3 linked regions of the Saccharomyces cerevisiae S288C genome follow. Changing the gene in region 1 together with any one later gene gives a genetic interaction. Each region holds a gene or a part of one and is shown in the gene's direction. Other genes may lie near its edges.

Region 1 (6,859 bases):
AATTGCTTCGTGACATATAGCATGGAATCCGTTATTGAACGCAGCAAAAATTATAGTGATTTGATCTGTAGGAAAAATATTAGAGTTCTGAGAACCATTTCACCCGCAGCAGTGGAGTTATCAGAAACTGTTTGTGTAGATAACTCATGGCCCGACAAAGTGGATTATTCTATTTCAGTACCCAACAAAGCCGTAGCTATTGGTTCAGCCACCCCTATAAATATTTCCATTGTACCTCTTTCGAAAGGTTTGAAATTGGGCTCAATCAAAGTCGTATTATTTGAGAATTATCAATATTGTGACCCCTTCCCTCCAGTAATTTCTGAAAATAGGCAAGTGACAGAACTAAATCTTGAAGATCCCTTGAACGAGTCATCTGGAGAATTTAATGGTAATGGTTGCTTTGTAAATAACCCCTTTTTTCAGCCTGATCATTCATTCCAAGACAAGTGGGAGATTGATACCATCCTGCAAATCCCGAACAGCTTATCAAACTGTGTGCAAGATTGTGATGTCCGCTCTAACATTAAGGTTCGCCATAAGCTCAAATTTTTCATCATCCTAATTAACCCAGATGGTCATAAATCTGAGTTAAGAGCGTCCTTACCGATTCAACTTTTTATTTCACCATTTGTGGCACTTTCAATAAAACCATTGTCATCCTCGAATTTGTATTCGCTTTTTAGCACCACTAACCAGAAAGACGAAAACTCATCACAAGAAGAGGAAGAGGAATATCTGTTTTCTAGATCAGCATCAGTCACAGGGTTGGAATTATTAGCGGATATGCGTAGCGGTGGCTCTGTTCCTACCATTTCAGACTTGATGACGCCCCCAAATTATGAAATGCACGTATATGATCGTCTTTATAGCGGTTCTTTCACTCGCACGGCTGTGGAAACGTCTGGAACATGTACTCCTTTGGGAAGCGAATGTTCGACTGTCGAGGATCAGCAACAGGATTTAGAAGATTTACGTATACGGTTGACAAAAATTAGAAATCAACGTGACAATCTAGGGCTACCACCGTCTGCCTCGTCTGCTGCCGCTTCCAGATCGCTATCTCCATTACTAAACGTTCCAGCACCAGAGGATGGCACGGAGAGAATCTTACCTCAGAGTGCTCTTGGTCCCAATAGTGGCTCTGTGCCAGGAGTACATAGTAACGTATCACCTGTTTTACTTTCAAGATCCCCAGCCCCAAGCGTGTCAGCCCATGAAGTGTTACCAGTGCCCTCGGGCTTAAATTATCCAGAGACTCAAAACCTGAACAAGGTTCCATCGTATGGCAAGGCAATGAAATATGATATCATTGGTGAGGACCTTCCTCCTTCCTACCCTTGTGCGATACAAAATGTGCAACCAAGAAAACCCAGTAGGGTACATTCCAGGAACTCTTCGACAACATTGTCATCTTCTATACCAACTAGCTTTCATTCCTCTAGTTTTATGAGTAGCACTGCTTCCCCTATTTCCATAATTAATGGCTCTAGAAGTAGTTCTAGTGGGGTATCTCTTAATACACTTAATGAGTTAACTTCGAAAACTTCGAATAACCCATCCAGTAATAGTATGAAAAGGTCACCAACAAGACGGAGGGCTACTTCTTTAGCTGGGTTTATGGGAGGTTTTCTATCAAAGGGTAACAAACGATAGTCGCCGATATTGTTTCGGCTCGTGCATTAAGCTTGTATAGTTTCATATAGAAAGTGATGTATATAGCATTTACGCACTCTAACTGGCATTTTAAAGAAAAAGGGATAAATGCAATGTTTGGCGTGCGGCAGTATAAGTTCAAAAAAATCCACTGCATTGTTGAAAAGAGTCAGGTCGATCCTGCTATTGGTTTTCAGTTTGAGGGATCCTTTGATTTGCTAGATATCATAAGATAAATGGTCCACCATAAAGTAATTAAATCTTGAAATTAAATTCTTATTCCATTAGAGACAGAGAAACTATTCATTGTACATTCTCCAAATGTGGTGATATAAACACTACATTCGCTAAATTACATTATATTATTTCGAGCTTTGTCTTGTTTATATTTAGTTACGTTGGGATCAAGTTTTAAAAAACTAGATCTGGAGTGACCAAAAAAAAAATACCCAGCGTAAGGTAAATATTATGGATATGCTTTGGAAGAAAAGAATTTTGAGACTTACACATTATTCGGCACAGTAGGTACTAGAAAGCATAGAATCACATTCGCCTTTAAAGACATTCTTTTTTCTTGCTCCTTCTATGGACTGCGACACAATAGTTGTTTTTGTGTCGTACCGAAGAAAAAGCCTTGTGCAGAAAGCAAAAATAGTACACTTCTAGCCTTGATTACCAAGAGTTATGACAAAAATTTGCAGTTCAGAGTATACCTTAAAAACTGTTCCTAAGGTCAAATAAAGAGGAAAATAATCAAACTAATTATTCATTAATTGAACGAACCAATAATAACGAGAGAATCAGTATCACAAAAAAAATTTCAACCTACAAGAGGAAACATGTATTCTATTTCAAACAAAAAACCTTCTATACTCAGTATGGTTCCCCTGAATATTTTGAAAAACCAGGATTTGAAAGTAAAAAAAGATCAAGAAAAGAAAATATCATTTAACCCCGTAGTTACTCCTATTAGGCCAGACGACTACCACGAAAAAACATCCAGATCGTCAAGTTCGAGCCATTCTGATTCACCTGAATTTTTGAGAATTAACAACAACAAATCCGGTCACAAGAATGGAAAATTGAAAAGTTTTGAAAGTAAAAAACTAGTTCCGCTATTCATTGGTGACCTCCATGAAACAGTTACTGAAGAAACTTTAAAAGGGATCTTCAAAAAATATCCCTCTTTTGTCTCTGCTAAAGTTTGTCTTGATTCAGTGACAAAAAAATCACTGGGCCATGGTTACTTAAATTTTGAAGACAAAGAAGAAGCTGAAAAGGCTATGGAAGAATTAAATTACACGAAGGTTAATGGTAAAGAAATTAGGATTATGCCATCATTGAGGAATACAACGTTTAGAAAGAATTTCGGCACTAATGTCTTTTTCTCTAATCTACCTCTAAATAATCCATTATTAACAACAAGAGTATTCTATGATACGTTTTCTAGATATGGTAAAATTCTATCATGCAAATTAGACTCTAGGAAAGATATAGGATTTGTTTACTTTGAGGACGAAAAAACTGCGAGAAATGTGATCAAAATGTACAATAATACCAGTTTTTTTGGTAAGAAAATTCTATGTGGAATACATTTTGATAAAGAGGTCAGAAGTGTTCCAAATTTTGAAACACAAAAATCACGATTAGATGCGGAAACAATTATTGAAAAAGAGCAATCTTTGAATGAGAAACACTCCAAGGGGAATGATAAGGAATCTAAAAATATTTACTCTTCATCCCAAAATTCTATATTCATCAAAAACCTTCCAACAATAACTACAAGGGATGATATTTTAAATTTCTTCAGTGAAGTGGGTCCAATTAAGTCAATTTATCTATCCAATGCCACTAAAGTTAAATATCTTTGGGCATTTGTTACATATAAAAATAGCAGTGACTCAGAAAAGGCAATTAAACGCTACAATAATTTTTATTTCAGAGGTAAAAAGCTTTTAGTAACCAGGGCACAGGATAAAGAAGAAAGAGCCAAATTTATAGAATCTCAAAAAATATCTACACTTTTCCTGGAAAATTTAAGCGCTGTCTGCAATAAGGAATTTCTTAAATATTTATGTCACCAAGAAAATATTAGACCGTTCAAGATTCAGATAGATGGATATGACGAAAATTCTTCTACATATTCTGGGTTCATCAAATTCAGGAATTTTGAAGATGCTACGAGAATATTTAACTTTTTGAATAACCGTTTAGTAGGAGGAAGCATCGTCACGACATCTTGGGAAAGACAAAATAATGCACCTAAATATCATGATGGTTATGGAATGCGCAATATACACACCTCTTCTCATCCACAAATTACCCCATATTACCAGTACTCACATGCGAATAGTTTGAACTCCCCACACATGAGAGATCTTTCGTCAATGAATAGCAGCACAAGATCACTAATAAAGAATAAAAATTTCAATAAGAAAGTTTTGGAAACATTCGAAAAGCAAGTAAGAAGAGGTATAGATTTCATGAGATTTCCAAGTGCCACTAGAGACGAAAATGTGCACGGAATAGCTGAGTATATATTCGACACTTATTGGAATCGCGATGTGTTAATATTGGACAAATTTTTATCGTTGCTAAATAGTAGTCCATATCATGAAGGTGTATTGCAAAAACAAATTGAAGAGGCTGCAAGCTCGTTAGGATTTAAAAGATGAATGTCTCTTTGTTAATTTAGCTAGAGTTTTCCTTATTTATTTTTTTTATTTACACTAATTCAATCTTTTTCGTTATATTTAGATATTATTAAAAATTATTATTATGGAAAAAATTCTTAAAAGGATAGACAGAGGGACGCCGTCTGCTATATGATATGTATTTAGGTCCGAGTGCTGATAAACTGTAAGGCAAAAGGTATAAGTGTAAATCAATAACGTTTCTCGTATTCTTTACTCTCCTTCAAATTTTTTAAACTAGTTCAACGTAATTTGCTGGGAATATACCTTCTCTACCGTTGACTCTTCCGGTCCACCAGTCATTTTGAGAATCTGATTTTTTCAAAATTGTGATCACGTCACCCTTTCTGAATGGTAAATCTCCGGACTCTTCTCCTGCAAAGCTATATAATGCCACGGCCTTTGGAGAAGACGTGGATGGGGATGTTGGAGCAGTGAATCTGCCCTGACTAGTTTGCGGTGTTGAAGCGGACGAGATTCTAGATTTAGAAAATCTGTTCGACAAGTCATCGACTTCACGGTCTTTTGTCCTATCTCTTCCATTCCCGCGTCTATACCCGGATTCATAATCATCATCATAATCATCGTATTCATCATCAGCCCAACGATTTCTTGAAGAACGAGCCCTTGACTGAGCAGTTCCTGATCTTCTGTGGCTGGCATAATAACTTGAAGCTCCAGATGGGTCATCCAATTTACCACCACTACCGCCACTGTTGGTAGGAGCCAGTCTTGAATTCCTTGAATAGCCAGTACCATAATCATCATCGTCATCATCATCGTCGAACGTATAACGAGAACCGCTTTGGGCTCTTCTCCTTGTGGATCTTGTGTTAGGTCTAGTGGAGGAAGCATCTGTAGAACTGAATGAACTAGGAATGTCATTATAGTAATCGTCGTCGTCATAGTAATCGTCTTCGTCGTCATCGAAACTGCCACGACCACCGTTGGAGGGTCTGTAATTAAACGCCCTGGACTCTAAAACACGAAACAATGGATCAACTGCTGGAGGCGGTCTTATCCTACCAGACAAAATCATTTTCGCGGTACAATTGTCACCATAAAATTTTCTGTTAGCCTCTCTTCTTTCTATAATAGCCGAACCTTCCACAGAAACCCCTGCAAATAGACCTTTACTCTTAGAATAGGCAAAAACTGCAGCCACACCACCGGCGGAGGCTGATGCAGCTGCTTCTGCACTTCTACCAAGAGGCCCAGCAGAAACGGAGACGTTACCACCCAACGTGATGGTCCCAAATTCAGAAAACGACTTAACAGCATCCTGAGTATTTAAAATGAAAACAAAATCAGTCAATTCTATACCAACCATCCCACCGGCACCAGCACCTGCCATGGCAATGGCAGATGGAGCTGACCAAGTACCATCCTTTAATCTTGCGACAATCACACCAGAACCAGCTCTACCTGAAAATAGAAAACCTGCTTTTAAGATCGTTATGATAGCCAACCCTTTAGCTCTTTTCAAAACGTCTGGAGGAATGACTTGGTCCGCACCAAAAACTTGGTTTGGTTTGACAAAACTAGCCAAAATCTTCGCTGCTTTTCTTTATTAATTGTTTATTACTAGTTAGTAAATGATGAACAAATTAAGGGAGAACTTTTTTAAAGGTTTCCCAGCCAAACCCGTATAAAACATACTTTGTCTCACTCTTTAAACTCCTTGGAATAGGATTGTTAATACCCATTGCGTGTGATACAGCTTTTGTTTTTGATTTCTTTGCCACCCGTGATCCAAAGCCGTTCTAGATTTCTTCGATAGTTTATACTCTTTCATGTTGAACTTCCAGATGCGGCCGAGTCGGCGAGCAAACAGGGTGCTGCTACTAAACGAACAATAAAGAAAGACAATTTGGGCACCCAATATAAAATGAGCAGTCAATTCAATCAATTCAGTGTGAAATTTTTTTCTTGGAAAGATCATTCACTTCTACACAGCTGTACATGAGTTTATATGACAGTTTTTTTTTATGTACATCCAGTTCAAGATAATCAGATTATATATTGGCCCAAAAGGGATCATTAACGAATTGCGAAATGGGTAATCTCTTTACAGTTAACAGATTCTCTGGTGATTGGCTTTCCTCAAGGTAGCAAATATACTCTAATTGTAGCACGTCTACTATGTATTTCTTTACCTTGTCATAGCACACACCCACTTGCGCCACGCCGTGTGCGTCATCACTTAGAACAAATCTGGATCCACAGTGCTTCTTGACCAGATTACATAAGGTTTTGCTGGGGTACGGCTCCTCGAGGCGCTTTCTTAATGCGGACGTATTGATTTCAATTGCGCCGCCATAGGAGTCTATAAATTGTAAATTTCTTACAACTGCATCGTATATTTCTGGCCATTCACTGATGACGTCCAGTGAAGCTACAGGAACTCCGGTTTCTTCGTTGCAGTTGCCCGATTTCTGGTTTACTAGCATGTCATTGGGCAAAAATAATTTGTAAAGGTCGAAGTGACCCACGACCAACGGTTTAATATT
Region 2 (7,293 bases), on another chromosome or scaffold:
TGCCACAGTTCTCATATTCCAGAGACTTTGAAGTGACATTTGCTTCTTGTGTATTCACCTTTATCCCAAATTAGCCCTTGTAACACTTATGCTTTTCTTAATAAATTAATAATTGGACTTTCCTTTAAAGTGGGTTGTATCTGTAACAATAATCTCTAATAATATCCTATAAAACTCAGAAGTCAGCCAACAACAATTGTATACGTATACATATCTATATAATATGCCTTGTACTTTACGCTCTTGAATTTAGAATAGCTGAACACCTAACTGAATTTAAGTAAAGGATCCCAAGCGTGAGATATTTAGGTTTACTCAGTTTTCTTATCTTGCCTTTTGATTATCACGTTGAGTGTCGAAGAAACCTGTATTCATCCTCGGCTTCTTGTATATGATTCTAAAATAATGTGTGAAAAAAAAAATAAAATAAAAAAAAGAGGAAAATAATATAGAATAACTATTAAGTTTCATTAAAAAAAAACCATTTGAATATACGACCAAAAACGTTACGCTTTCATAAAGTGTGAATAAGCAAGGGAACTATACTTGAAATATGGGGGCAAAGAGTGTAACAGCCTCTTCTTCAAAGAAGATTAAAAACCGGCATAATGGGAAAGTGAAAAAGAGCAAGAAAATCAAGAAAGTACGGAAACCACAGAAGTCTATATCCTTGAACGACGAAAACGAAGTAGAGATTTTACCTAGTCGTAATGAGCAAGAGACAAATAAATTACCTAAAGATCACGTCACGGCGGATGGAATTCTTGTATTAGAACATAAATCTGATGATGATGAAGGATTCGATGTCTACGATGGACATTTCGATAACCCTACTGATATTCCCTCGACTACTGAAGAAAGTAAAACGCCTTCATTAGCAGTGCACGGGGATGAGAAGGATCTTGCTAACAATGATGATTTTATCTCTCTTTCTGCTAGTTCTGAGGATGAGCAAGCCGAACAGGAAGAGGAGAGGGAGAAACAAGAATTAGAAATTAAAAAAGAAAAGCAAAAGGAAATCCTTAATACTGATTATCCATGGATTTTAAATCATGATCACTCCAAACAGAAAGAAATCTCGGACTGGCTAACCTTTGAAATCAAGGATTTTGTTGCCTATATCTCACCAAGTCGTGAAGAAATTGAAATTCGTAATCAAACCATAAGTACAATAAGAGAGGCTGTCAAACAGTTATGGCCAGATGCTGATTTGCACGTGTTTGGATCATATTCTACCGATTTGTATTTGCCTGGTTCCGATATTGATTGCGTGGTAACGAGCGAACTTGGTGGTAAGGAAAGTAGGAATAACTTGTATTCGTTAGCAAGCCATTTAAAAAAAAAAAATTTGGCAACAGAGGTTGAAGTTGTCGCCAAAGCTCGCGTTCCAATCATCAAGTTTGTTGAGCCACATTCAGGGATCCACATAGATGTTTCATTTGAGAGAACAAATGGTATTGAAGCAGCAAAGCTTATTAGAGAGTGGTTGGACGATACCCCCGGCCTGAGAGAATTAGTCCTTATCGTAAAACAATTCCTACACGCAAGAAGACTAAATAATGTGCATACCGGTGGTCTTGGTGGGTTTAGTATTATATGTCTTGTCTTTTCCTTTTTGCATATGCACCCACGTATAATAACTAACGAAATAGATCCAAAGGACAACTTGGGTGTGCTCCTGATAGAGTTTTTTGAACTTTATGGGAAAAATTTTGGTTATGATGATGTTGCACTGGGATCATCGGATGGATATCCAGTATACTTTCCAAAATCGACATGGAGTGCTATTCAGCCTATTAAAAATCCATTTTCATTGGCCATTCAAGATCCAGGTGATGAATCAAATAACATCAGTCGAGGGTCCTTTAACATTCGAGATATTAAAAAGGCATTTGCTGGTGCTTTTGATCTGTTGACGAATAGATGTTTTGAATTACATTCAGCAACTTTTAAGGATCGATTGGGGAAAAGTATATTGGGAAACGTGATCAAATATCGTGGAAAGGCAAGAGATTTCAAGGATGAAAGAGGTCTAGTACTGAATAAGGCTATTATTGAAAATGAAAACTATCACAAGAAACGTAGCAGAATAATTCATGATGAAGATTTTGCCGAAGATACAGTTACCTCCACAGCCACCGCTACCACAACAGATGATGATTATGAAATAACGAACCCACCTGCTAAGAAGGCTAAAATAGAAGAAAAACCTGAAAGTGAACCGGCCAAGAGAAATAGTGGAGAGACATATATCACTGTCTCTAGCGAAGATGATGATGAAGATGGATATAATCCTTATACCCTTTAATATGTGCCTTTTTGTTTAAATGATGCACTGAACTGTACATCACTGTGTACCTGGATAGAATGTGTGTTTAAATATGCGTATTATGTATTAATAATTGAATTTAATTTTACTTCTGTTTTTCTTTTTATCGCTGTGAACTTTTTTGTCAAGAAGTCGCTCTTTGTTGGCTTTCTCTTTTATTTTATTCCATTTCTTTGAGGTCTCAGCAGTGGTATCATTAGGAAATTGGCACGTTTGCCGAATTTCTTGAACCAACTTCTCGAAGCATTTTAATTTGTTGGTTTCCCTTGACCTAGTTTCATCAGATTGAATTACTATAGAATCGCTGCCCTTAGCGTAGTATCGAAACCTGCCGCTACTTAAGATGTTTCTCACTTCCTGAGGAATCCAAGCACAGTTTGATAAACCAGAAAGTGTCAAAGTACATTTACTATTTACCTTATTAACGTTTTGGCCTCCTGGCCCGCTGGCTCTATCGTAACGTAAAATAAATTGATTTAAGGGCAAGCCCGTTACGTTAAGTGCTCCTACCCAGTTTCTTGCCTGGACGAAGTCAGATTTCTTTCCGATCTTTTTATTACTAATCAATCTGACTGCCTCTTCAACGAACTGTTGTTTCTTGCAGTGCAACATTGGTTGAAGTACAAACAGAGGGGAGCGCCCAGTAAGTTTAAACTTTCCCATCAATGTTGTCATATGATATTTCTTGGCGTGTTTCCCTTCAATTTACTGAAAGGCAAACAGTAATGTTAAGGATTCTGTTGTTTTTTTTTACCGTATACGCTTGATTTCGTCAGCCCCTTGGAAGACACGAAATGTTGACTATCCGCTTCCAGATCTGGTAAAAGATTGATTTGCGATAATTCCTGTTGTTGTCATCACGGGTGTTATGGTTTGTTGTAAACTAAAAAAAGAATGAAGGAACAGGACGCAGATTCATCTAATCAAGTTCTGTGGGGAGGTCCCCAGTGGTAAGTGAATAAATATTCGCTTTATGAAGACCTACACCTGGTTTTCTCAATGGATCAGACGATAAGTACAATTTTTGTAGAGCTATACTCGAGGACAATCAGACAAAACGAAAGAATATCTTTCGATGAAGGGCGTAAAAAAGGAAGGATGGATATCTTATAAAGTTGATGGATTGTTTTCGTTCTTATGGCAAAAGAGATACTTGGTACTGAATGATTCGTATTTAGCATTTTACAAAAGTGATAAGTGCAATGAGGAACCAGTCTTATCTGTGCCTTTGACTAGTATAACAAATGTTAGCAGAATACAATTGAAACAAAATTGTTTTGAGATTCTTCGGGCAACAGATCAAAAAGAGAACATATCCCCCATAAACTCCTACTTTTATGAATCAAATTCCAAAAGATCGATATTCATTTCCACAAGAACCGAACGGGATTTGCATGGCTGGCTTGATGCCATTTTTGCCAAATGTCCTCTCCTTAGTGGTGTTTCATCACCAACAAATTTTACACACAAAGTACACGTTGGGTTCGACCCAAAAGTGGGAAACTTTGTTGGAGTACCTGATAGTTGGGCTAAACTACTACAAACCTCAGAAATTACGTACGACGATTGGAACAGAAACTCAAAAGCTGTTATTAAAGCACTGCAATTTTATGAAGATTACAATGGACTGGACACAATGCAATTCAATGATCACCTCAACACAAGCTTAGACTTGAAACCTTTAAAAAGTCCGACAAGGTATATTATAAACAAGAGGACTAATTCCATCAAGAGATCAGTAAGTAGGACGCTCCGAAAAGGCAAAACAGATTCCATTTTACCCGTCTATCAATCAGAACTTAAACCATTCCCAAGGCCTAGTGATGATGATTATAAGTTTACCAACATAGAGGACAATAAAGTACGCGAAGAAGGCAGGGTGCATGTTAGTAAAGAAAGCACGGCAGATTCCCAGACAAAGCAGTTAGGAAAGAAGGAACAGAAAGTCATTCAAAGCCATCTGCGAAGGCATGATAATAATTCAACATTTAGACCTCATCGACTAGCACCATCTGCACCTGCTACAAAAAATCATGATAGTAAAACTAAATGGCATAAGGAGGATCTCCTTGAACTTAAGAATAATGATGATTCGAATGAAATAATAATGAAGATGAAAACTGTTGCAATTGATGTAAACCCAAGACCGTATTTCCAACTGGTAGAAAAGGCTGGTCAAGGAGCAAGTGGTGCAGTATACCTGTCAAAGCGAATAAAATTACCTCAAGAAAATGACCCGAGATTCTTGAAATCACATTGCCACCGAGTCGTAGGCGAAAGAGTGGCCATTAAGCAGATACGTTTATCTGAACAACCAAAGAAACAATTGATTATGAATGAACTCCTAGTGATGAATGATTCGCGCCAAGAAAATATCGTTAATTTCCTTGAAGCCTATATTATTGATGACGAAGAGTTATGGGTGATAATGGAGTACATGGAAGGTGGCTGCTTAACAGATATATTGGATGCTGTAGCAAGGAGCAATACCGGTGAGCACTCATCGCCGTTAAACGAAAACCAAATGGCATATATAGTAAAAGAGACGTGCCAAGGTTTGAAGTTTTTGCATAACAAGAAAATTATCCATCGAGATATCAAATCTGATAATATCCTTCTGAATTCCCAAGGGTTAGTGAAAATTACAGACTTCGGTTTTTGTGTGGAATTAACAGAAAAAAGAAGCAAGCGTGCCACAATGGTAGGTACTCCATATTGGATGGCACCTGAAATAGTGAATCAAAAGGGATATGATGAAAAAGTCGACGTTTGGTCTCTAGGGATAATGCTTATTGAGATGATAGAAGGTGAACCGCCTTACCTAAATGAGGATCCTTTGAAGGCGCTGTATCTGATAGCTAACAACGGTTCACCAAAATTGCGTCATCCAGAGTCAGTGTCCAAGCAAACCAAACAATTCTTAGATGCCTGTTTGCAAGTGAATGTCGAATCAAGAGCATCCGTGAGAAAACTACTAACGTTTGAATTTTTGTCAATGGCATGCAGCCCTGAGCAGCTCAAAGTATCCTTAAAGTGGCATTGAAATTTAGCTTTTTTTTATTTAGGAGAAACAATATATATATATATGTATATACGTATGTATGATTCATATTTTAATCGCATTTTTATTTCATCTAAAACAATTACTCTTTTTGATTATTTATAGAAAAAAAACAACAATGATACGTTTGCTTCGCGTTATGTCAATAGAAAATGTAAAAGGAAAAAGAATGTGTTGCTATTCGTTAGGCGGATTTACGGATGGAAGACATATCTATGAACTGAGCTTACAAACGCTTTTAGCGGGGACAGTTAATCATTTTACGGATGATTTTATAAGAATAAACTATTTTTGAAAAGTTAGGATAGTATTTTGTACATTTGGCACCGAAGTAATTCAAAATCGAGGAAGACTCGCACACTTTTACAATCACAGAAGGCAAAACCCGGCATGACAGGATGATAATGTCATCAACTATGTCGACAGAAGCCGCCTTGGTACCGAACGAAAGTGTTTTTGACACAGTTTCGTCATTCAACGAAGACGATGCCAATTATAGCGTTCTTGATTTATACGATGACGACGATGAAGGGGATGATAGTTCTACAGTAGAACGAAAAGAAATATTGACAACACGTGAGCTTGAAAAAGCAAAGGCGTTTACCAGCTTAATCATGGCAGATCCTGAGAATTTTGATAGATATGGATTTAGCAAGAAAGGATATTTCATTAGTCAGGAAGAATACGACAAATGGTGGACAGAATATAATAGATACACCGAAAGAAGAAAAAAAAAGTGGGAGAACTTTCTTCTTAAGAATAAGATTGAGCTCCACAATGATAATCCTCTAGTATATCCTGCAAGGACAGATGAATTGTCAAAATTTGTTAGAAAAGGTATACCAGCAGAATGGAGAGGGAATGCCTGGTGGTATTTTGCTGGTGGACAACGACAATTAGACGCAAATGTTGGCGTTTATGATAGACTGAAAAGTGACTGTCGCGAGGGTGCCGTATCTGGTAAAGATATGGAAGCTATAGAACGGGATCTTTATCGAACGTTTCCCGATAATATACATTTCCATAAGGAGTCCTTCCAAAATGGAGAGCCGGCGATCATCCGATCATTGCGTCGAGTATTAATGGCCTTTTCTGTTTATGACAAGACTATTGGATACTGCCAATCGATGAATTTTCTCGTTGGATTGCTATTATTGTTCATGGAAGAAGAGAAAGCATTTTGGATGCTGGTTATTATTACCGGTAAGTATTTACCTGGCGTGTATGAATCAGACTTAGAGGGTGCGAACGTGGATCAAGGGGTGTTGGTGTTATGTATCAAGGAATATTTACCCGAGATATGGTCACACATTGAGTCATCGTATATGAATGGCAATGGCAGCACTGACCAGATATCAGGGCCAGCATCGGGGGAAGAATATCTCTGCAGGCTGCCTACGCTGACGCTGTGTACGGCAAGTTGGTTTATGAGCTGTTTTGTGGGCGTGGTGCCCATCGAAACGACCCTGAGAATATGGGACTGTTTATTCTATGAAGAGTCTCATTTTTTATTTAAAGTGGCTTTGGGGATACTGAAATTGAGCGAAAGCGAGTTTTTGGAGAGTAAAAGCCAGAAACTGTTTAGACAGTACTCTTCGTACACCTTCGGTGGTAGTAATGACTCTGATTCAACTTTCAAAAGATTAAAGAACAAGATTAAGACGCAGGAAGAGGCAGATATGGAGATTTTGCAAGTGATTCAAAATTTCCCAAAAAGATTGCTCAATCCGAATGATATCTTTGAGAAAGTCCTGATGAAGAAGAAGGTTGCGTTGAATGGTATTACCCAGGAAAAGATTGATCGCGGTAGAGAGTATGTGGCGATGGCGAGAAATAGACAAAGGGCGAGTAGCCGCCCAAAGGAAAGAAGAAAATAGTAAGCGCAACCGTGATAAAAAGCGCA
Region 3 (7,431 bases), on another chromosome or scaffold:
ATATGTAACAATCCCAAAGGTGGATTCCAGTCTTTAGGCCACTTCTCCTTAGTTCCTGCGATCTTTTCCGCAGCCTCTTTCCTTCTATGTTTCCAGTCTCTTAAATCCTCGCTATATATCTCCCAGACACAGTTAACGCAACCTGACATGCAACAGTTATCGGGTTCTTGTGGTTTTGCAGGCACTTGGACACCTGCTATTTTCTTCGTTCCGCCGCTAAGCACTCTACTTGTGGATCTTGGTGGTTCACCCTTTAAGCGTCCTCCAAAAACAGTGGTCATTCTTTCTTCGACAGAAGTAGAGATATCTTGAGTGTTTCCTTCAAAAGTCATATCTACTCTGGAGTATCTTGTGAACCTCCGCACCGGATAAATTCTGTAAAGTAATGACCATCCCTGATTTCTTATCATTTTCTACTTTTGATCACGTCTCTATCTAATGACGGTTTCATGCACCCTCTGACTGTTGTAATTTACGTATTATTATTCTGTTTAATTTATGCTATTTATGTAAATGAGTTCGGCCATGTCGGAGGAGAAAGATATCTTTTTTCAAATTTGAGTATCTGATTCGGGCTTATAATACATGCCCACGACATCGCTCGATCATATATTCCAACTCTTCAAGCTCCCTCTTCATTTTATTCTTCACGTTGAACGGTTCAAAGAGCCCCAGAAAATAGGTGCTGAGATCCAGACACTCCTTGTACTTACATTGGTAAAATAAACGATGGCAGAAACCACTAAGCACCTGTCGCTGATGCTTATTGGAGATATCGTACTTGCCTTCCCGGATCTCAACCAAGGGATCTACCTCATCCATCCATCCTACCTTTGTCCGCACAGGGCCTTGTTCTACTTCGAAGTAGTGCTGCAATTGCTGTGTATACTCTTCTTCCGTTTGACCTTTACGTATTTTAGTTTTCCCGGTGGATTTTCTAACAATTACTTCACCTGTTCTACCATCTAACGAGATTGGCTTAGTCACTGATTGATCCTTCTCTCCGTGGGCTTTCCTAAAACCTGTACTATAGTTTTTTTCCACCATTTTTGGTGCTTCTTCTCTATCAGATGCTTCTTTCATAAAAATTATTATCTTTCTTAGCTGTTATTCATCTTACATTTTTTTTTCAATTACGGCGAGGCGATGACTTCAATCGTTGCTGTCAAGATTGAATTGACAATTACAGTCGATGTTGAATATTAACTTATATATGACAGATCATTACAGCTAGTCTAGTTCGACAAGATTAGTAAGATTAGGAGTTATTTTTAACTGCTTATTATGCAAGTTGTGTAGGCCACAGGCGCAACTGAAAAACATAATTTCAGATTAGGCAGTTACTGGAAAGATCGCGTTCTTGTATTGTCTAAATAGAAGCAGTTGTTTTAATAATGCTTACAATTGAACTATGAACCAAAGCAATAATTTATGAGAAACTAAAATGGGATGCATCAGATCTTTGCACTCAATTGAGTTTAAAACTGTACAGGTACTAATATTATATTAACGCTGCTTCTATAACACTTGTTTTGACATGACGATAAGTGTAGTGTATTCAAATGCCGTATGTCACTTGAACACACAGGGAACTGCACTCTGCACTTCGGAACAAGATTGAAAGTTACTGTGTTATTAACCTTTGCCAACAAGCGAAAACAACCAGGTGTTTCTGCGGTTTACAAAATCTTTAAGGGATTGAGGTTAGTTGGCTCAAAGAGAAGAAGTTCCCAGTCGATGTATCAAGCAGAGCTAAGAGAAAAAGTGCCGCGAAAGGGTTTGATTGGTCAAGTTGGCTTGTTCATCAGGAACTAAATTAATCAAGGTGTGATTCTATCTGTCAACCCCCCCCCTTGATACTTCCTGTACTTAGAATCAATTTATTAAATACAAATTTAGAATCTGTGATTCGTAAATCTTAAGTGTTTAAATACTAAGTGTGTATTAAAGGCTTTACTTCAAGCAACGAAAAATAAATAACCCCGAATATATGAGGGGCAATAATACCTTTTCACTCATTTGATGAAAAAGAAAAGATGTTTGATGTTATAGAAAATACCTTATACCATATCTTCTACCTACTCATCAATATCAAACCCTCACAGAATAGAGATAAAGAACATCAGAACCATCTGGGCAATGTCATTTTTAAAGTTCGCTTATAGAAACTCTTGGCGATACTATAGCAAGTCCACACGGCATTTTCATAAAATACCTATAAGACAGTTCATAATACCTACGTCAATTGCTTTTTATTTGACACAAAATTCGTTTCCAAAACAAAATTGTTTGATATACAATGATTCTCTAAAACCGGATCCCAAAGGTGATACTTTTGAAATGGGCCTCTACGTTTCCTCAGAAAACGAATTGCAGGAAAAGCTTAAATCTTTCAGGTCTGCTAAGATCACTGAATCACGAAATAAATTAATAAGATATCTAAGAATCTTTTGGTTCGGTTTTAATGATAATATTGTTGAGCCTGTATGCACGATTTTAAGGTTTTTAGAAATTTCAGCTATTTTTTTACCTCTTCTCCTATTATACCCCATATCATGGTTTGGTCATAAACTCAAAATTACGGACACCAATATAACTGAAACTCGAGGTTCATTGATTTGGTGTCAACTACTGCGTAAAGCATTGGAATTGGCTGGCCCGAGTTTCATTAAACTCGGACAATGGGCAGGATCGAGAACCGATATATTCTCTCACGCACTGTGTCATGAGTTGGGTAAATTGCATAGTAACGTTACAGCTCACTCTCTAAGCTTTACTCTGGAAAAACTTTCTCAAGCATTAAAGGTTGACAAGATCGAAGATGCTTTTGATGAATTTAATCGAACACCAATTGGAGTTGGGTCCATCGCACAAGTTTACGTGGGTGAACTATCCCAAAAGTACATCGATAAATATGACAATATACAAATTGGTAAGGATGGAAATCGTTGGTGTGCCATCAAGATCTTGCATCCAAATGTAAGATCTCAGATCCGGAGAGATTTGAAAATAATGAAATTCTGTGCTGACGCAATAAATTGGATTCCGACTATGGAATGGCTGTCTTTACCCAGCGAAGTCGATCAGTTTTCCATATTAATGAATATTCAGTTGGATCTAAGAATTGAGGCGTTAAACCTGGAAAGATTCAATGAGAACTTTAAAAATTCTATTCAGGTGAAATTTCCTAAACCATTTCTCCCCTTGTCAAATAGGGATGTTATGTTCGAAGAGCATGTATATGGTCTTTCCATGGAAAAGTTTTTATCTACGAAGAAGCAAATTAACGACGTTGAACTTTGTAAAAAAGTCAGTGATCCCTTCGTTGACGCGTTTCTACAAATGCTAATTCTTGATGATTTTGTTCATGCTGATTTGCATCCAGGCAATGTTATAATCAGATTTGTGAAGACGAACAAATACGGCACAAACATTATATCCTCCGAACTTGAATCGTACAGAATAACGCACGACCTGAGGAAGAAGATAGAGGAGGACCAAGATCAGGACTTTGTTGGAAAACTGAAGTCTGTATTAACTAATTACACTCCCCAAATTTGTTTTATCGATACAGGAATAATTACAGAATTGAATGAAAAAAACAGAATTAATTTCATAGCTCTATTCAACGCATTGGCCCGATTTGATGGTTATAGAGCTGGTGAGTTGATGATTGAGAGATCAAGAACTCCAGAAACAGCTATTGATAAGGAAGTATTTGCGTTTAAGGTAGAAAAGCTAGTGGATAAAGTTAAACAAAGAACATTTACATTGGGAACCGTCTCAATTGGCGATTTACTCGATCAAATGCTTAGTATGGTAAGGTCGCACCATGTTAGAATGGAGTCCGACTTTGTTTCCGTGGTGGTCGCTATTTTACTTCTAGAGGGTATTGGACGCCAGTTAGATCCAAACTTGGACTTATTTGAAAGGTTCGTATTTTACGCATGGATTAACGGTTTTAAAGAATAACATCAATTTTTTAAAACCCTTTTCTATTGCTTTTTTTTGCTTTTTATTGCTACTAAAGAAATTCTTTTACTAACAAAAATACCCACATCTTGTAACTTCTCTTCGTAAACAGTTCGCTGCCTATATTACGTGAATTCGGGTTTAAGCGGGAAGCCAAAAGTCTCTTGAAAGATGCAAGCACATTATCAATGCTCAAGATATGGGTTGGTTTAGAAGTGCGTCAATTAATGCATCTCTCGATGAAGCAAATATACGATCTTGTCAGGACTGATCAATTGTGTCCTAATTATTAATATTCTTTCTTTTTATGCATCTTTTATAATTGCGACTTCCACGTGTTCGCAGGTGGAGCAATGTTACACACGCTGTCCCAACATATTAGCTCTCCAAAAAAACGACCAAGTTTATTTAAGTGACAAATAATAATTTGCTGTTGCTCTAGCTGAAATTTAGACCAGTGCTGTCATTATCGACTCGTAGTGTTCTTTTAATAGTAAATTTCGTCAAAACGTTTCTAATTCACTTAATAGCGCCAACTGAATAAGAGAATTATTTTTAGAACGTGCACATTATATTAAAAAGAGAGCGTTGGCTGACAGAAGTAAAAAATAAATTATTGTCTTACAAAGTGAGACTATTAAAGAGTTTAAGTTTTGCAATTAGTGCTTCATTGAACAATAAGGCAACGGTAGCAAAAAATTTAAACCCAACTAAGAAGGGAACCCTCATCAAATTACACAAAAATAGCCACTATCTCCAACTAAGGTGACAAACTACTGAAACTGTAAGGTCTTTATATAATCAAACAATATAATCAATGAAGTTCGGAAAAACCTTTGCCAATCATCGCATTCCAGAGTGGTCAAGTCAATATGTTGGCTACAAGTCGTTGAAGAAAATGATTAAAGAAATTACAAGACTTCAAGAAGACATATATAGGGCACATAACAAGAATAGCTATGATGAAGGCAGGCCACCAACAAAAATGAGAGATTCATCTAATAGTGCTCAAAATTATTTGGACTCTCCAAAAATCCAAAAGTTATTGGCGTCGTTTTTCTTTGCAGTTGACAGGGATATTGAGAAGGTTGATACATTTTACAATTCCCAGTATGCGGAATATAAGAAAAGATTTGAGAGATTGCTTTCTTCTAATCAATTCAATGAGATAAAATCAACATTAGTGGTCGATGCCAACAAAGAAGATGCAGTAGCGCAAACCTTACTCACAAAGGATACGAGAGAGATGAATATGCTTTTAAAGGGAACAAGTCAAGCCAGCCGTCTATCTTACCATAAAGATGACTTAATTGAAATTCAGTCTATCTTAGCTGAGTTAAGAAAACAATTTAGAAACTTAAAGTGGTACGCTGAACTAAATAAGAGAGCTTTTGGTAAGATTTTAAAGAAACTGGATAAAAAAGTCGGCACAAATCAGCAAATGTCAACTATGAAAACTAGAATCTTGCCGTTACAATTTGCTAATGATTCTCTTATTACCAAAGATTTGAGTTTGCTAAAAACTATCTGGGAACAAGTGACGTTCAGGATAAATTCTTACGAGAGAGTAATGAGGAGTACCTCGCCGAACGCAAATGCTAATGATAATACAGAATTCTTTAAGATTATTTGCGTTTTTATAGAAGAAGATGATAGCAAAGGATTGATTAGAGAGCTAACAAACCTATATTCGGAATTGTCTTTGATTCCAACAAGAATTATGATAAGTGTTTTAAACAAGGCAGCACTGTCTAAATCACTGGCATGTATTGATGCTATCTTAAAGGTTATTCCGTCTCTAAATGACTCGGAAGATATTAACAGAAGAAATTTTTTCCATCATCACATAATTGCAATCGGGAAGTTAATCAGAAAACAGGAAATTTTAAGTAGGAAAAAGAAGTCACAACCCTCAAAATATACTAATAGTGAGGGAGAAATTGTAACAGATTTAAGAACCCTGCATACGACCCTATCTGCCCCGGCAGAATCAGATAGCATTACAGAGGAGGAAAAAAGTTCGGCCTGTACACTCTCTTATATTTTAGAGGAGTTACCAATTCATTTAAGACCATGCCTTTTTCAGCATGATAATTACAAGAGAACGCCCTTGCATTATTCTTGCCAGTATGGCTTATCTGAAGTTACGAAGTTGATTATCAAGTTAATGAAAGAATGGAATATCTGGAATGAAATCCCTATTGATGACGTTTCCGCGTTCGGAGATGCCGAATCATTGACACCTTTACATTTATGTGTGTTGGGTGCTCATCCCAAAACAACAGAAGTCTTATTGCAATCTTTGGATCCGAACGTGAAATTAAAAAGTTCAAGTTTGTTACATTTGGCCACTGAGTGGAATAACTATCCCCTTTTACATGTTCTCCTATCATCAAAAAGGTTTGATATTAATTATCAAGACAACGAATTACATGAAACACCGCTATATCTTGCTTGTAGATTAAATTTTTTCGAAGCTGCTGTGTGTTTGTTGTACAATGGAGCCGACCTTGAAATAAGAGAAAAACTTTTTGGCTGGACAGCTATCTTCGTTGCAGCAGCAGAAGGGTTTACGGACATTGTAAAGCTCTTGATAGCCAACAACGCGAACTTTGATATTGAAGATGAAGGTGGGTGGACGCCGATGGAGCACGCGGTATTGCGCGGTCATTTGCACATTGCTGATATGGTTCAAATCAGAGACGAACTGGTCACGCATCCCCATTCACAGTTGAACAGTGGTAGCGAAGAGAAAGAACCACTAAACGAAATTAGTGCCGGAGAATTAAATGAGAGAAATGAAAATGGAAACGGAGGTAATAAAGGGTCCTTGGGAAAACTGGCCGGACCAATAAAGTCATATGGACACAGATTCCTGGATAATAATGAATCACTTATACTAATAACATTGGGAAGTAATGACACAAGAAACAAAAGCCCTTCAATTTCATTAAGCTCGGAAGCACTAGCAAAAGTTATTGGGTTGGAAACAGATTGTGCATTATCGTTAGTAATTTCATGCAATGATTCAATTGATAAATCTTCTGTAATCTTAGATTTACCATTAGATGATAATGTGGACGCAGTAGACTTCAAAGTGCCTTTCAAAGTTGATTATTCTCATACATTATATTTTGATATTGTGCCAACATATGGAACACGCTCGTTGGAGACCCATAATAGAATAGATTGTCAAAAAAATAACAATAATTACGTAATGGCAAGGGGTGTTTCCATGTTGAATAAGTCGTACAGCTCAGTGGGAGTTAATAGAAGTATATTAAATGGTAGCGTGACGGTCCCCATCATCGCTAATCATACACTGGAGATACTTGGGACGCTGAAATTTGAATATATTATTATCACACCATTTGAACATCCACAACTGCCCTTAGAAAGAACAGAAACGTACTGGAAATCCTTAGTGTCCACTCGTGTTATAGGACATAGAGGCCTGGG

The links.
Region 2: mutations in PES4 (region 1) and SKM1 together harm fitness more than expected from each alone (negative genetic interaction), as found in Saccharomyces cerevisiae (2 studies listed by BioGRID).
Region 3: mutations in PES4 (region 1) and CQD1 together harm fitness more than expected from each alone (negative genetic interaction), as found in Saccharomyces cerevisiae (2 studies listed by BioGRID).

What each region holds. Positions count from the first base shown.
Region 1 is NC_001138.5:197,379-204,237, forward strand, and holds PES4 (Pes4p), read left to right. Parts: upstream 1-2,495; coding exon 2,496-4,331; downstream 4,332-6,859. Other genes in the region: ROG3 (Rog3p), read left to right, coding at 1-1,656; LSB3 (Lsb3p), read right to left, coding at 4,582-5,914, 6,009-6,055; HIS2 (histidinol-phosphatase), read right to left, coding at 6,365-6,859.
Region 2 is NC_001147.6:100,922-108,214, forward strand, and holds SKM1 (putative serine/threonine protein kinase SKM1), read left to right. Parts: upstream 1-3,404; coding exon 3,405-5,372; downstream 5,373-7,293. Other genes in the region: MSN1 (Msn1p), read left to right, coding at 1-36; non-canonical poly(A) polymerase PAP2, read left to right, coding at 554-2,308; PTH4 (Pth4p), read right to left, coding at 2,396-3,004; Rab GTPase-activating protein MSB4, read left to right, coding at 5,789-7,267. UniProt on the Saccharomyces cerevisiae protein: May be involved in cellular signaling or cytoskeletal functions. May play a role in morphogenetic control.
Region 3 is NC_001148.4:342,098-349,528, reverse strand, and holds CQD1 (Cqd1p), read left to right. Parts: upstream 1-2,139; coding exon 2,140-3,932; intron 3,933-4,084; coding exon 4,085-4,265; downstream 4,266-7,431. Other genes in the region: DPC25 (Dpc25p), read right to left, coding at 1-410; YPL108W (uncharacterized protein), read right to left, coding at 577-1,083; GDE1 (glycerophosphocholine phosphodiesterase), read left to right, coding at 4,790-7,431.